Cricetulus griseus: one gene and its partners. The protein of the gene in region 1 interacts with the protein of each later gene in a biochemical or structural test. Links are inferred from orthologs where the notes say so. Each region holds a gene or a part of one and is shown on either strand. Other genes may lie near its edges.

What was found.
Region 2: the proteins of Foxa2 (region 1) and Hoxa5 form a complex in vitro, tested with the Homo sapiens proteins (2 studies listed by BioGRID). The link is inferred for Cricetulus griseus from reciprocal best matches to the Homo sapiens genes FOXA2 and HOXA5.
Region 3: the proteins of Foxa2 (region 1) and Otx2 form a complex in vitro, tested with the Homo sapiens proteins (2 studies listed by BioGRID). The link is inferred for Cricetulus griseus from reciprocal best matches to the Homo sapiens genes FOXA2 and OTX2.

Annotation. Positions count from the first base shown.
Region 1 is NC_048599.1:30,936,951-30,940,696, forward strand, and holds Foxa2 (hepatocyte nuclear factor 3-beta), read left to right. Parts: upstream 1-945; coding exon 946-1,032; intron 1,033-2,062; coding exon 2,063-3,376; downstream 3,377-3,746. UniProt on the Homo sapiens protein: Transcription factor that is involved in embryonic development, establishment of tissue-specific gene expression and regulation of gene expression in differentiated tissues.
Region 2 is NC_048601.1:89,139,807-89,143,552, forward strand, and holds the start of Hoxa5 (homeobox protein Hox-A5), read left to right. Parts: upstream 1-1,584; 5' UTR 1,585-1,617; coding exon 1,618-2,512; intron 2,513-3,500; coding exon 3,501-3,746. UniProt on the Homo sapiens protein: Sequence-specific transcription factor which is part of a developmental regulatory system that provides cells with specific positional identities on the anterior-posterior axis. Also binds to its own promoter.
Region 3 is NW_023276807.1:204,712,261-204,716,006, reverse strand, and holds the start of Otx2 (homeobox protein OTX2), read left to right. Parts: upstream 1-1,425; coding exon 1,426-1,522; intron 1,523-2,473; coding exon 2,474-2,649; intron 2,650-3,746. UniProt on the Homo sapiens protein: Transcription factor probably involved in the development of the brain and the sense organs. Can bind to the bicoid/BCD target sequence (BTS): 5'-TCTAATCCC-3'.

The DNA of each region.
Region 1 (3,746 bases):
TGTACAGTTTTTCTAAATAAGACAGCTCTTAGCAAATTGGCTGTCACCTGTTTGTTGTTTTGACAGGGAATGAGCGCCGACAGGAAAGAAAGCCGGAATAAATCAATCTGGCTAGCCTCGGCTCTGCGGGGCACCGAGGTCGTCCGCGCCCTCGGATTGATGCCCCGGGTGCTCAGGGAGAAAAGGGGGGTGGGGCAGGAGCAGGAGTCCAGAGCTTTTCCAGGGGTGGCCTGATCCCAGGTCCCTGCGTCCACGGAAGACTCCCCGTGGACGCAAAGAAAGGGACTCCACCAGGGCGCCCCCGACTCTGCTTGCAGGTTCGGGTCTTGGGAGTGCAGGCGGACAGCGGGAGCTGGGCTAGCTCTGGGCGGGGAACGGCAGGTGCTGAGAGCCGGCCCGGCTTCCTCTCACCTAAGTGTGAGCTGATTATTCAAATGGGCTGCCCGGGGTCTGGGGATTGGAGGCCTGCGCCAGCGCGCCGCGCTATATCACCAGCCGCCCACGTCACTGCGGCACTTGTCCGCTGTGCGGTCCACACCTCCTCCTCCCCCTCCTCTTGCTCTCCCCCCGCCCGCCCCCGCGCCGCTAGCTTCCCGCCGCCTCCCGGCAGCTCCACACTGCCAGCCTCAGCCAGCACCGGCAGCCCCGGGAGCGCGGCGACGGAGGGCACGCCCGACGGCAGGGCTCGGGCTCCAGCCTCCTAGGTTCTTTGGCCCCCTCCTCCGCCAGCCACCTTCCCGCCCACTCCCAGCTACCTCCCGCGGCAGGCCGCGGGAGAGAGAGGAAGTGGAGCCCAGAGAGAGAGGGGGAGAGAGAGAGCGCGAGCGAGCGCGAGAGAGGGCGGGAGGGAGGGGACGGTGCCTTAGCTGACTTTTTTTTTTTAAGAGGGTGGGGGTGGGGGCTGATTGCTGGTCGTTTGTTGTGGCTGTTAAATTTTAAACCGCCATGCACTCGGCTTCCAGTATGCTGGGAGCCGTGAAGATGGAAGGGCACGAGCCATCCGACTGGAGCAGCTACTACGCGGAGCCGGAGGTAAGCGCTTGCCTTCGCCCGGGGAAAGTGGGGTGGCAGCTATCTCCGCGTCCCCAGCCTCGGCACGCTCCCTTCAGGGGCAGTCGCCCCCCCCCCACCTCTAGTCTTCCTGGACAGCCGCCTTTTCCGCCCTCCTTCGACTCAAATGGGTCTCTTTTTTATACGACACACTGTTAGCCTTGAGATAATATTAACTTTGTGATCAAATATTGACTTGCGGCGCCTCCAAATCCTCTTCGTGGCCGAGCCACGCACTATCCTAACAGAGTTATGTTTGGCAGCGCGCGGCTGGGGAGGGGTGGGAGGTCGGCTGGCGAGGGGGTGGGGAGCTGGAAAAGAGAAGGTGGGTAGGAGTTGGGGACAGAGGTGCAGGCAAAGAGTCAAAGACTGTGGACAAAGAGAAAGTTTGTGGCTACGAAGCCCGGACACTAACAGTTCCTAGCCGATTTGGCGGTCCCTTCCCTATTCCTCCACGCAATGCCTCCAACTGCCCACGGGCTCTGCGCAGCCACTGCCCTTCACTCCCCTGTGACTAAGGAGTGGGGTCCCAGTACGAAGGTCCAGAATAGGGGACACTGGGAGTATTACCACTTGAGATCGCCCCAGTGACGTTCCAAAGGTGGCTTTTGGCGACCAGGGATAGCAACAGAGATTTCCAGTCTTGGTGCTGACTCAGTATGCTACCCGGGGGCGGCGGGGGTGGGGGGGTTGGTAGAGTCTCTGAGGATAGTAAAATCCATTTGGGGCGCCTGACTTGGTGGTGGTCCTGGGCACCGATATTCTAGAATCTGGGCGTGAAGTGAGCCACAAGTCCCCTGGCCACCTCTCCTCGGATGATCACCCGTACTGCTGCTCTCTTTGAGGTACCGAGGACTTGGTGTTGGTGGATTGGGATCCAGAGAAATAAAGAGATCCCCAGAAGCCTCCACGAAGGTGGAGGACTAGGTCCAACTGGTGTGTGTATGGAGGCGGGGGTCTGACACGCTCAGCCTAGGTGCTAACCAGTCTCCTCCCCGGGCTCTGTCCTCAGGGTTACTCTTCCGTGAGCAACATGAACGCCGGCCTGGGGATGAACGGCATGAACACTTATATGAGCATGTCCGCGGCCGCTATGGGAGGCGGTTCCGGCAACATGAGCGCGGGCTCCATGAACATGTCATCGTATGTGGGAGCTGGAATGAGCCCGTCCCTAGCTGGCATGTCTCCGGGCGCGGGCGCAATGGCGGGCATGAGCGGCTCAGCTGGGGCGGCCGGCGTGGCCGGCATGGGACCGCACCTGAGTCCAAGTCTGAGCCCACTCGGGGGACAGGCGGCCGGGGCCATGGGTGGCCTTGCTCCCTATGCCAACATGAATTCAATGAGCCCCATGTACGGGCAGGCGGGCCTGAGCCGCGCGCGGGACCCCAAGACATACCGACGCAGCTACACACACGCCAAGCCTCCCTACTCCTACATCTCGCTCATCACCATGGCCATCCAGCAGAGCCCCAACAAGATGTTGACGCTGAGCGAGATCTACCAGTGGATCATGGACCTCTTTCCTTTCTACCGACAGAACCAGCAACGCTGGCAGAACTCCATCCGTCATTCGCTGTCCTTCAACGACTGCTTTCTCAAGGTGCCCCGCTCACCGGACAAGCCCGGCAAGGGCTCCTTCTGGACCCTGCACCCCGACTCGGGCAACATGTTCGAGAATGGTTGCTACTTGCGCCGCCAGAAACGCTTCAAGTGTGAGAAGCAGCTGGCGCTGAAGGAAGCCGCGGGTGCGGGCGGTGTCGGAGGCAAGAAGACAGCTGCTGGGACCCAGGCTTCGCAGGCTCAGATCGGAGAAGCCGCGGGCTCGGCCTCCGAGACTCCGACTGGCACCGAGTCCCCCCATTCCAGCTCTTCACCATGTCAGGAGCACAAGCGAGGCGGCCTGGGCGAGCTGAAGGGAACACCGGCCTCCGCGCTGAGTCCCCCAGAGCCGGCGCCCTCGCCTGGGCAGCAGCAGCAGCAAGCTGCAGCTCACCTACTGGGCCCACCTCACCACCCGGGCCTACCACCGGAGGCCCACCTGAAGCCAGAGCACCATTACGCCTTCAACCACCCCTTCTCTATCAACAACCTCATGTCCTCCGAGCAGCAACACCACCACAGCCACCACCACCATCAACCCCACAAAATGGACCTCAAAGCCTATGAACAAGTCATGCACTACCCTGGGGGTTATGGTTCCCCCATGCCAGGCAGCTTGGCCATGGGCCCAGTCACGAACAAAACGGGCCTGGATGCCTCGCCCCTGGCTGCAGACACCTCCTACTACCAGGGAGTGTACTCCAGGCCTATTATGAACTCCTCCTAAGAAGATGGCTTTAGGCCTGGCTAGCTCTGGCCACCAGGAGAAGGACCAGAGAAAAGAGAGGCTGCCTGGAGACTTAGAGCTTTGAGGAAGAAGTAGTCACCACACTTCAGGCCCTAAGAATGCAGTCTCACCCAACTGCCTGTGCCCCTAAATAGATGGTCCACGGTGATCTGTCCTTCTAAATAGGGAAGAGAATGGAAATATATACATATATATACATATATAAACATTTTTAAAGGAGCCTTTGGTTTCCACCCTGTAGACTCCTCCTCAAGGCACCTGCAGATTCTGATTTTTGTTGTCGTTCTCTATTGTTGATGTTGCAGGGAAGTCTGACTTAAAACAAAAACTTTTGTGAGTGACTTGGTGT
Region 2 (3,746 bases), on another chromosome or scaffold:
AGCCTGCTCCCACCCGGGTGCTTCCGCAGCTTAGGGAAATGCAAAGCTTTGCAAGCGTCTGCACATTTACTTATTACAGAAAACAAACAAAACAAAAGCTCGAATACCCAATGTCAGCTGTGGGACAGACGCACTGTACACACACACACAGGTTCTCTCCCTAAAGCTGCTCGAGCCAGCCTGGGAGTCCCGGGATGCACCCAGAATTGGCCCGGCTGCTGTGTTAGTCTCTGCGATCCCTGAGCTACAGACACGGGGTTGTTGGGGAAAGAAAGAGCCCCAGGCAATGCCTGGTTTGGTATCTGTGTTTTACCACCTTGGTCCCTCACCATCAAATCTTGAAGGGTATCGCCAAATCGGCTCTGGGTACTGGAAAGAAAGGGCCTAAGAGCTGGGCCCCAGCCCTGTCGCAGCCTCTCAGGATGCCCCTAAACAAGAAGCTGGAGGAACAAAGGGGAACTCCCCTCTTCCCCGACAGAACCAAGTCTTTCTGCCGGCGCATAACCGTCAATCGGAGAACCGTAGCTTCAGCCGAGGCGAGCCAACCTGGGCCGGGAGTGGAACAGTACAGCCTCTAGAGCGACTAGGCTCTCCGCAGGCTCCCAGCTCCCGATTCCCACTCCCTGCCTCGTACAGCGCTAGGCGCTGCCACCTAGAAACTCTCAGGACCCAAAGAGGGGACCCAGGACCATGGGAGCCAGAAGAGTCCTAACTTCCAAGCGTGCCAAGGACGCCTGAGATGCCAGGCCTCTAGTGGGGAGAATCTGCTTGTCTCTCAGCTACATTTGTGATTTACTTTGGTCTTTCTCGGAGCCCAGGAAAATAACTACGGAGATACTAGGCACTGCCACGAAATGATTCCATTAGTTCCCGCAATTTATTCCTGGAGGTCTAAGCAAGACCCCAATAGCTCTACCCAGGGATCCCAGCTTTCAAACAGCCTCAGAGGCTGCAGAGAGTCAGGGCCCACTCTCTGGGTTCACCAAGAACCTTGCTACCTGGGACCCGGCTGGCTGGAGGAACCGGACCAGGGATGAAGATATTCCGAGCTGGATAAATAATCAAATCAGATAACAAACTAATGACACGAAAAACATATTTACACGAAAGAAAAATCGACTCTGGTTATACGAGTGTATGGAATTTGACCTCGCCTCGGAGAAACACTACACAAAAGCTGTCTTTAATAGACGCCTGTCGTTTAAGAGCGGCAGGGACACTGTCCTTCACGCGCTCACAAAAACAGAGCCATAATTGCGGCTGCTGCTGTGGGAAGGATTTATTTCTTCAATTGGGTAAATGGTCTTCCATTCCCCGAAGGTGATATCTGTGTTTTCAAAATTCACAGCTGCGGGCCGGACGGGCAGAACCTACCCCAACCTCTACACAAAAATAAGAGGGTCTACAAAGCCAGGGAAATAAAGTTGTTGTAAATAATTCCAAGTCACCACCTCCCCCTAATCCTCCGTATCCTCGCCGGGCGTGCGATCGGCAGCTGACGGCCTCACAATTGGTACATCCTAATGGAACTGCGAGGGAAATGCAATAATTTTGCCATAATGGGCTGTAACCTCAATTCGACCCCGGCCCTTGCAGCCCGAGGTCGGAAGCGATGTGATGCTCCCTGCCTCCAGAGGGTGGCGCTCGAGTCCGACTGAACGGCGGCTGCGGGTGGCGAGCACGCGCCCAGGGCGCGCGCGCCACCCCTCTCGCCTCCACCCAACTCCCCCATTAGTGCACGAGTTTACCTCTAGAGGTCATCAGGCAGGATTTACGACTGGACAACAAAAGCACGTGATTCGAAGTCGTACCCCATATTTGGGTGCCTACGTAGGAGGGAACCGAGTACATGTCCCAGTCATTTCCATAATTCATCATAAATTGTGCAAGGGTGCTATAGACGCACAAACGACCGCGAGCCACAAATCAAGCACACATATCAAAAAACAAATGAGCTCTTATTTTGTAAACTCATTTTGCGGTCGCTATCCAAATGGCCCGGACTACCAGTTGCATAATTATGGAGATCATAGTTCCGTGAGCGAACAATTCAGGGACTCGGCGAGCATGCACTCCGGCAGGTACGGCTACGGCTACAATGGCATGGATCTCAGCGTCGGCCGTTCGGGTTCCGGCCACTTTGGCTCTGGCGAGCGCGCCCGCAGCTACGCGGCCGGGGCCAGTGCGGCGCCCGCCGAGCCCAGGTACAGCCAGCCGGCCACGTCCACGCACTCGCCTCCGCCCGATCCGCTGCCCTGCTCGGCGGTGGCCCCCTCGCCCGGCAGCGACAGCCACCACGGCGGGAAAAACTCCCTGGGCAACTCCAGCGGCGCCTCGGCCAACGCCGGCAGCACCCACATCAGCAGCAGAGAGGGGGTTGGCACGGCGTCCGCAACCGAGGAGGACGCCCCTGCCAGCAGCGAGCAGGCGAGCGCCCAGAGCGAGCCGAGCCCGGCGCCGCCAGCTCAGCCCCAGATCTACCCCTGGATGCGCAAGCTGCACATTAGTCACGGTAAAGCCAGACGTTTTCTGATCCACGCGTCCGTGGGGGCGCGGGTCTCGGTCACCCTCTGTTCTTTGCAGCCTCTCTCCGGGTCTCTCTCCTAGTCTCGCCTCTCTCCAGCCTGCAGAGCCTCTCCCTGCGGTTCTCCTTCCCCTGCCTTTCTCTTTACTTCCTCCCCATTACTGCAGCAGCATCCTGTATTCGCAAATACTGGGGGGAGGAGGGGGAGAATGGGGTAGCCGAGCAAGTTTAGATGTTGTTGAAAGAGGAAGAAATTCCATCTGGAATCCCAGCGACTCGGAGAGCGCTTCAGGGTCAGGCCGGCCGAGCAGGGCTTGGAGAGAGGTAGGGATGGTAGTAGGGGCCGTGAATCGGGCTTGTCAGGGTGGATAATTTATGAGAAGGGCTACGCTGGGGAAACAGCGTTACTAATTAGAGCCCCTAAAAGGGGCTTGGGGGGAATAATCTAGGCGAGGGCAGGCGAGATTCTCAAGTTTGGGGGCAAGAGAGAGAGGGAAGGAAAGAGAGGAAAAAGAGAGCGGGCGCCCCAAGCGTACAGGCTGGAACAGGAGGCGGCTAGAGCGGCTGGAACTTTAACGGAGAGTGACCTGGAGGCCACTTGGGAACTCAGAAAAAGACAGTGCTTCGGTGCGGTGGGCAGCCAGAGAGGGCAGTGCCCCTGCTTATGACAACTGGTGCAGGGCCAAAGAGCAGAATGGGGGCGAGAGAGAGCCAGGCTGTCCTTCAAGACAGGGTTCCAGCCTCAGGTGGGCCGGTTGTATCCAGAGTCCAAATCATGTTGTTTTTCTCTTCAGAAAGGAAGAGAGAAGGAAATTCGGAAAGGACAGGCGGGGAGGGAGGGAGAGAGGGAGGGAGGGAGGGAGGGAGGGAGGGAGGACTTGTTGAGCCTCTTTCCCAGCTCAGGACCCTGGCTGACTCTTGGAACCAGGTGCTGAGGAGTTAGTTGGTGGCTAAACCGCTCACTTTTCTGTTGCAGACAACATAGGTGGCCCAGAAGGCAAAAGGGCCCGGACGGCCTACACGCGCTACCAGACCCTGGAGCTGGAGAAGGAATTCCACTTCAACCGCTACCTGACCCGCCGAAGAAGGATTGAAATAGCGCATGCTCTTTGCCTCTCCGAGAGACAAATTAAAATCTGGTTCCAAAACCGGAGAATGAAATGGAAAAAAGATAATAAGCTAAAAAGCATGAGTATGGCTGCAGCGGGAGGGGCCTTCCGCC
Region 3 (3,746 bases), on another chromosome or scaffold:
TAGTTTTGGATGCTGCCTGCCTGCCTATATTAACATAGCTCTGGGGGAGGGGACTCAGCAGAGGAACAGAAAGATTTTTCCTTTTCTTCCCCCAATCTCTTTTTCATATGTAATTATGGAACATTTGGAAGGTAGAGAGAATTCCTAGTAGTTTCGTAGCTTTGAATATTTATCTACTTCAAACTTAAAGTGTGGGGAAGACAGCTCCAGTTAGCAGGAATCAGAGGGGGCCGCCTCTGAGAACCCCAAATCCCCAAAATCTGCCTCCCCCAGGATCTGCAGCCCCATCAAATCAACATGGAAGCAGCTTGCTCTGCCAATGCGCTTCCCACTTGCAAAATGTGGGTGCCAACTTTTTTTTCTGATTGGTGGGATTCTAACTTTATTTCAACATTTCTGGCAAGCCCTGTGCTAATCTTTAAGACTTTTTTTTTGCAGTATGTTTAAATTAAATATTTGATGGGTGTCGCTTAAAAGTTAAATACTTGTTTGTTTAGCTATAGTTCTTTAGACACATATAATCAAGGTCCTACAAAACCCTAATAAATCTGTTACTTACCTCGAAATCTAATTATCCAGACTACTAATTAGGTGAAAATGATTACTGGAAATGACTTCAAATGTGGAATAATAGCGGTTGGGCAGTTTTCTCAAGTTTGTTGTTCAGCAAGTTGGTATTTTAAATGTTAAGTTGGTATTTTAAATGTTAAATACATTTACATTTTAGTTTCACAGCAGTTGAAAGTTGTAATAAAAAAAAAAAAGCTAAGATAATTAAAATCTCTGCCAGGGAAAGGCAACAGTCTGGGAAGAGGTAGATTTCTTGAATTGTTTCTTTGTTTCTCACCAATGGGCTTTGTTATCAGCATTATTTATTTAGCCAAAGAGTTCTTTGTCTCTGCAAATGGCCCCAATCAAGTTTTGTTTGAGACAATTAGCTAGTGCCAGCCAATGAGTCCTATGCAAATGTTGGGCTAGGAATGTAATGTGTGCATTTGGAGGCGTGGGGTTTTGTTCTTGGGGAAGGCAGATTGTAATTGCTTTCCTCGGGTCTTTTTTTTTTTTTTTTTTTTTTTGTTAAGTTTGGGGTGGGGGTGGGGAAGACAGGTTTATCTGGTCTCGCTCCATCCCCTCTAGTTTTGGAGCTGCTGGGGGTTGAGGGGACGGCGGGGGGCGCATCTGCAAGTCCTTTAAAAGCCTGTGTCTAGCGTCACCCTGGCTCTCTTTAGTTAGTGATGGAACGTGGAGGAAGCTGCTCCCTCAGAAGCAGTAAACCAGCATCTCTGTTTGTTTGCTTTGCCCCTAGTTCCATCACTCCAAACCCACCCACCAAGGACACTGACCCTGTCCACTCCAGGCGAATCGCGACCGTCCGGCTGGGTTCCCCCAATTTGGGCCGACTTTGCGCCTCCAAACAACCTTAGCATGATGTCTTATCTAAAGCAACCGCCTTACGCAGTCAATGGGCTGAGTCTGACCACCTCGGGTATGGACTTGCTGCATCCCTCCGTGGGCTACCCGGGTAAGTGAGTTACACGGCATTCTCAACGCCCTTCACCACCACGCTCACCCCTCAGGAGCTCGGAGGTTGGAGGGTTCACTGCCCTCACTCAAGCTCCAGACAGGGTCCCCACTGCGTTTTGCTTGTCACGAAGCAGCCGAGAGCCACTGGGCATTTACTGACCCAAGAGGGAACAAGAAGCTGGGAAGAGACGAGTCTGGGGTTTGCAGCAGTCACAGAAAGTCACACCGCTTCATTCTTAAATTAGAGAGGCTTGGGGGACACTCATTGGGCAGGGTCGTGAAAGGTTGTTGACCTTGTCACTTGAATATGCTTTTGCCTAGTCTCCACGCCCAGTTTCTAACTAGTACCACCCTAAGAGTGATCAAGTTTTCTTCCCTACTGTACCCTATAGTTCTTCAGATTTGCCAGGGGTTTCTGGTGCCTCCAGGCCCCCTCCTTTAATCCTTGGAGGTGTGGCTTCCCTCCAGATGCTAGGCACCTTTCCTCCCCACCCGGCACCAAATACTCATAAAAGTCTGAACTATTGTTGTATTTTAAAGATGCAAGAACAAAGGTCCTTGCAGTGTTAAAATACCGTGGGAACTGGCTCCACGTTCGCCCAGTCATTTCTAGCCTCTGGTCCTTGCATAGCCTCTAACTTTACCAGACAGCCTTTTCTGTTGGCAGTGTGGTCTGTCGGTTGTTTCTTGTTTGTTTCCAGAATTGGGCATGAGGGTGGGAATTGTCTTTACTCGGTTTATTTTGTTAGCTCTCCAGTGGTGCTCTGTAGTTCAAGGGGACACTTGCAATGGGAGGCGGGGGATACTGCACTGCGGGGACACGACACTGTGTGTCCTGCTCTGTGTGTCCTGCTCTGGAGGGGGTGGGGATCCTCAGCGGTGGGAGGTTGGGGAGTCGTGCACCGAGGCAAAAGTCCCGTGACTGAGAAACTGCTCCCCCACCCTAAAGGGCCCTGGGCTTCTTGTCCTGCAGCCACCCCCCGGAAACAACGGCGGGAGAGGACTACGTTCACCAGGGCACAACTGGACGTTTTGGAAGCTCTGTTTGCCAAGACTCGTTACCCAGACATCTTCATGCGGGAGGAGGTGGCGCTGAAAATCAATTTGCCCGAGTCCAGGGTACAGGTAGGACATGTAGACACGTCCTCTCTGAAGTTTGGTGTATACAGCTCTTGAGCCAAAGAGGAGCTTGAAATTCTAAACATTCAGGAGCCAGTGAACCATTCTCCATTTGCTCTCTGCCCCTCTTAATCCAGTGAACCAGGGCCTTCTGGCCTGGTTGCAAGGTTAGAGCAGCAATTCAGCTGCAGACACAAAAGTACTAGATAGAGACTTTGGATCTCAGAGTCCCTGCAGTTGGAGATATCCAGTCGAGGGCAAAGTTCAAGGATAGTCAGTCACATGGTCCTTGTGTGGCCATCATGTTCGTGAATGGGAAACCGGGACAGTCTTTTTTCTTTTTAAGTACATGAAGAGATAGAGCGAGTAACTTTCTCCAGGCCATACCTGCTTTGATGACAGTCAGAAAGAGTGCTTTTACCAAATAAGTTGATACTGTGTGTGTGACTTATTGAGGACACAGTTTCCTAGCTGTTATTTAACAGACAAAATTTTTTATTCTTAATATCTGTGAAGATACCCCCTTTCTTGCTCTAGTTTCTCCCACATTTTTTACCCTGAAGGGAAGAAAAAATCAGCTACCTCTTGACTGTAGAGCAAACCCCATGTGGAGTTGGTGTTTGGCACCTCATCTATACGTATATGACACTTTCCTTTGGGCAGGACATGTTTTTGAAAGTGCCAGACGTCACTGTGAACTACAAAGCAGAAAACAGGATTTTTCAAAGCTGGTTGGAAAAAGTTTAAGCATTTGGTTGGAAAAAGTTTTGGCACTTGTAATTCTTGACCTAAAGCCCTCATTGTAAACAAAATGGCTTAGGATATCAGTGGTGCTGAGCTTGGCCTTGGGGGCATTACAGTTACAGCATCCAAATAGTCAATGACCTGTAGTCAATGTCACACTTTTAATCCCAGCACTAGGGTGACAGAGGCAGGCTGGTCTACAGAGTAAGTTCCAGGACAACTAGCTGTATGAGGAGACATGTCTGCCCCATCCTCTCCAAAAAATGAACTGTAGCTAAGACAAATGCCAGTAGTTTCTATCCTAAGTTGTTGCATTGCGGAGGATGTACAAGGCTGCTAAAGAGAATTTTCAAAGTGGC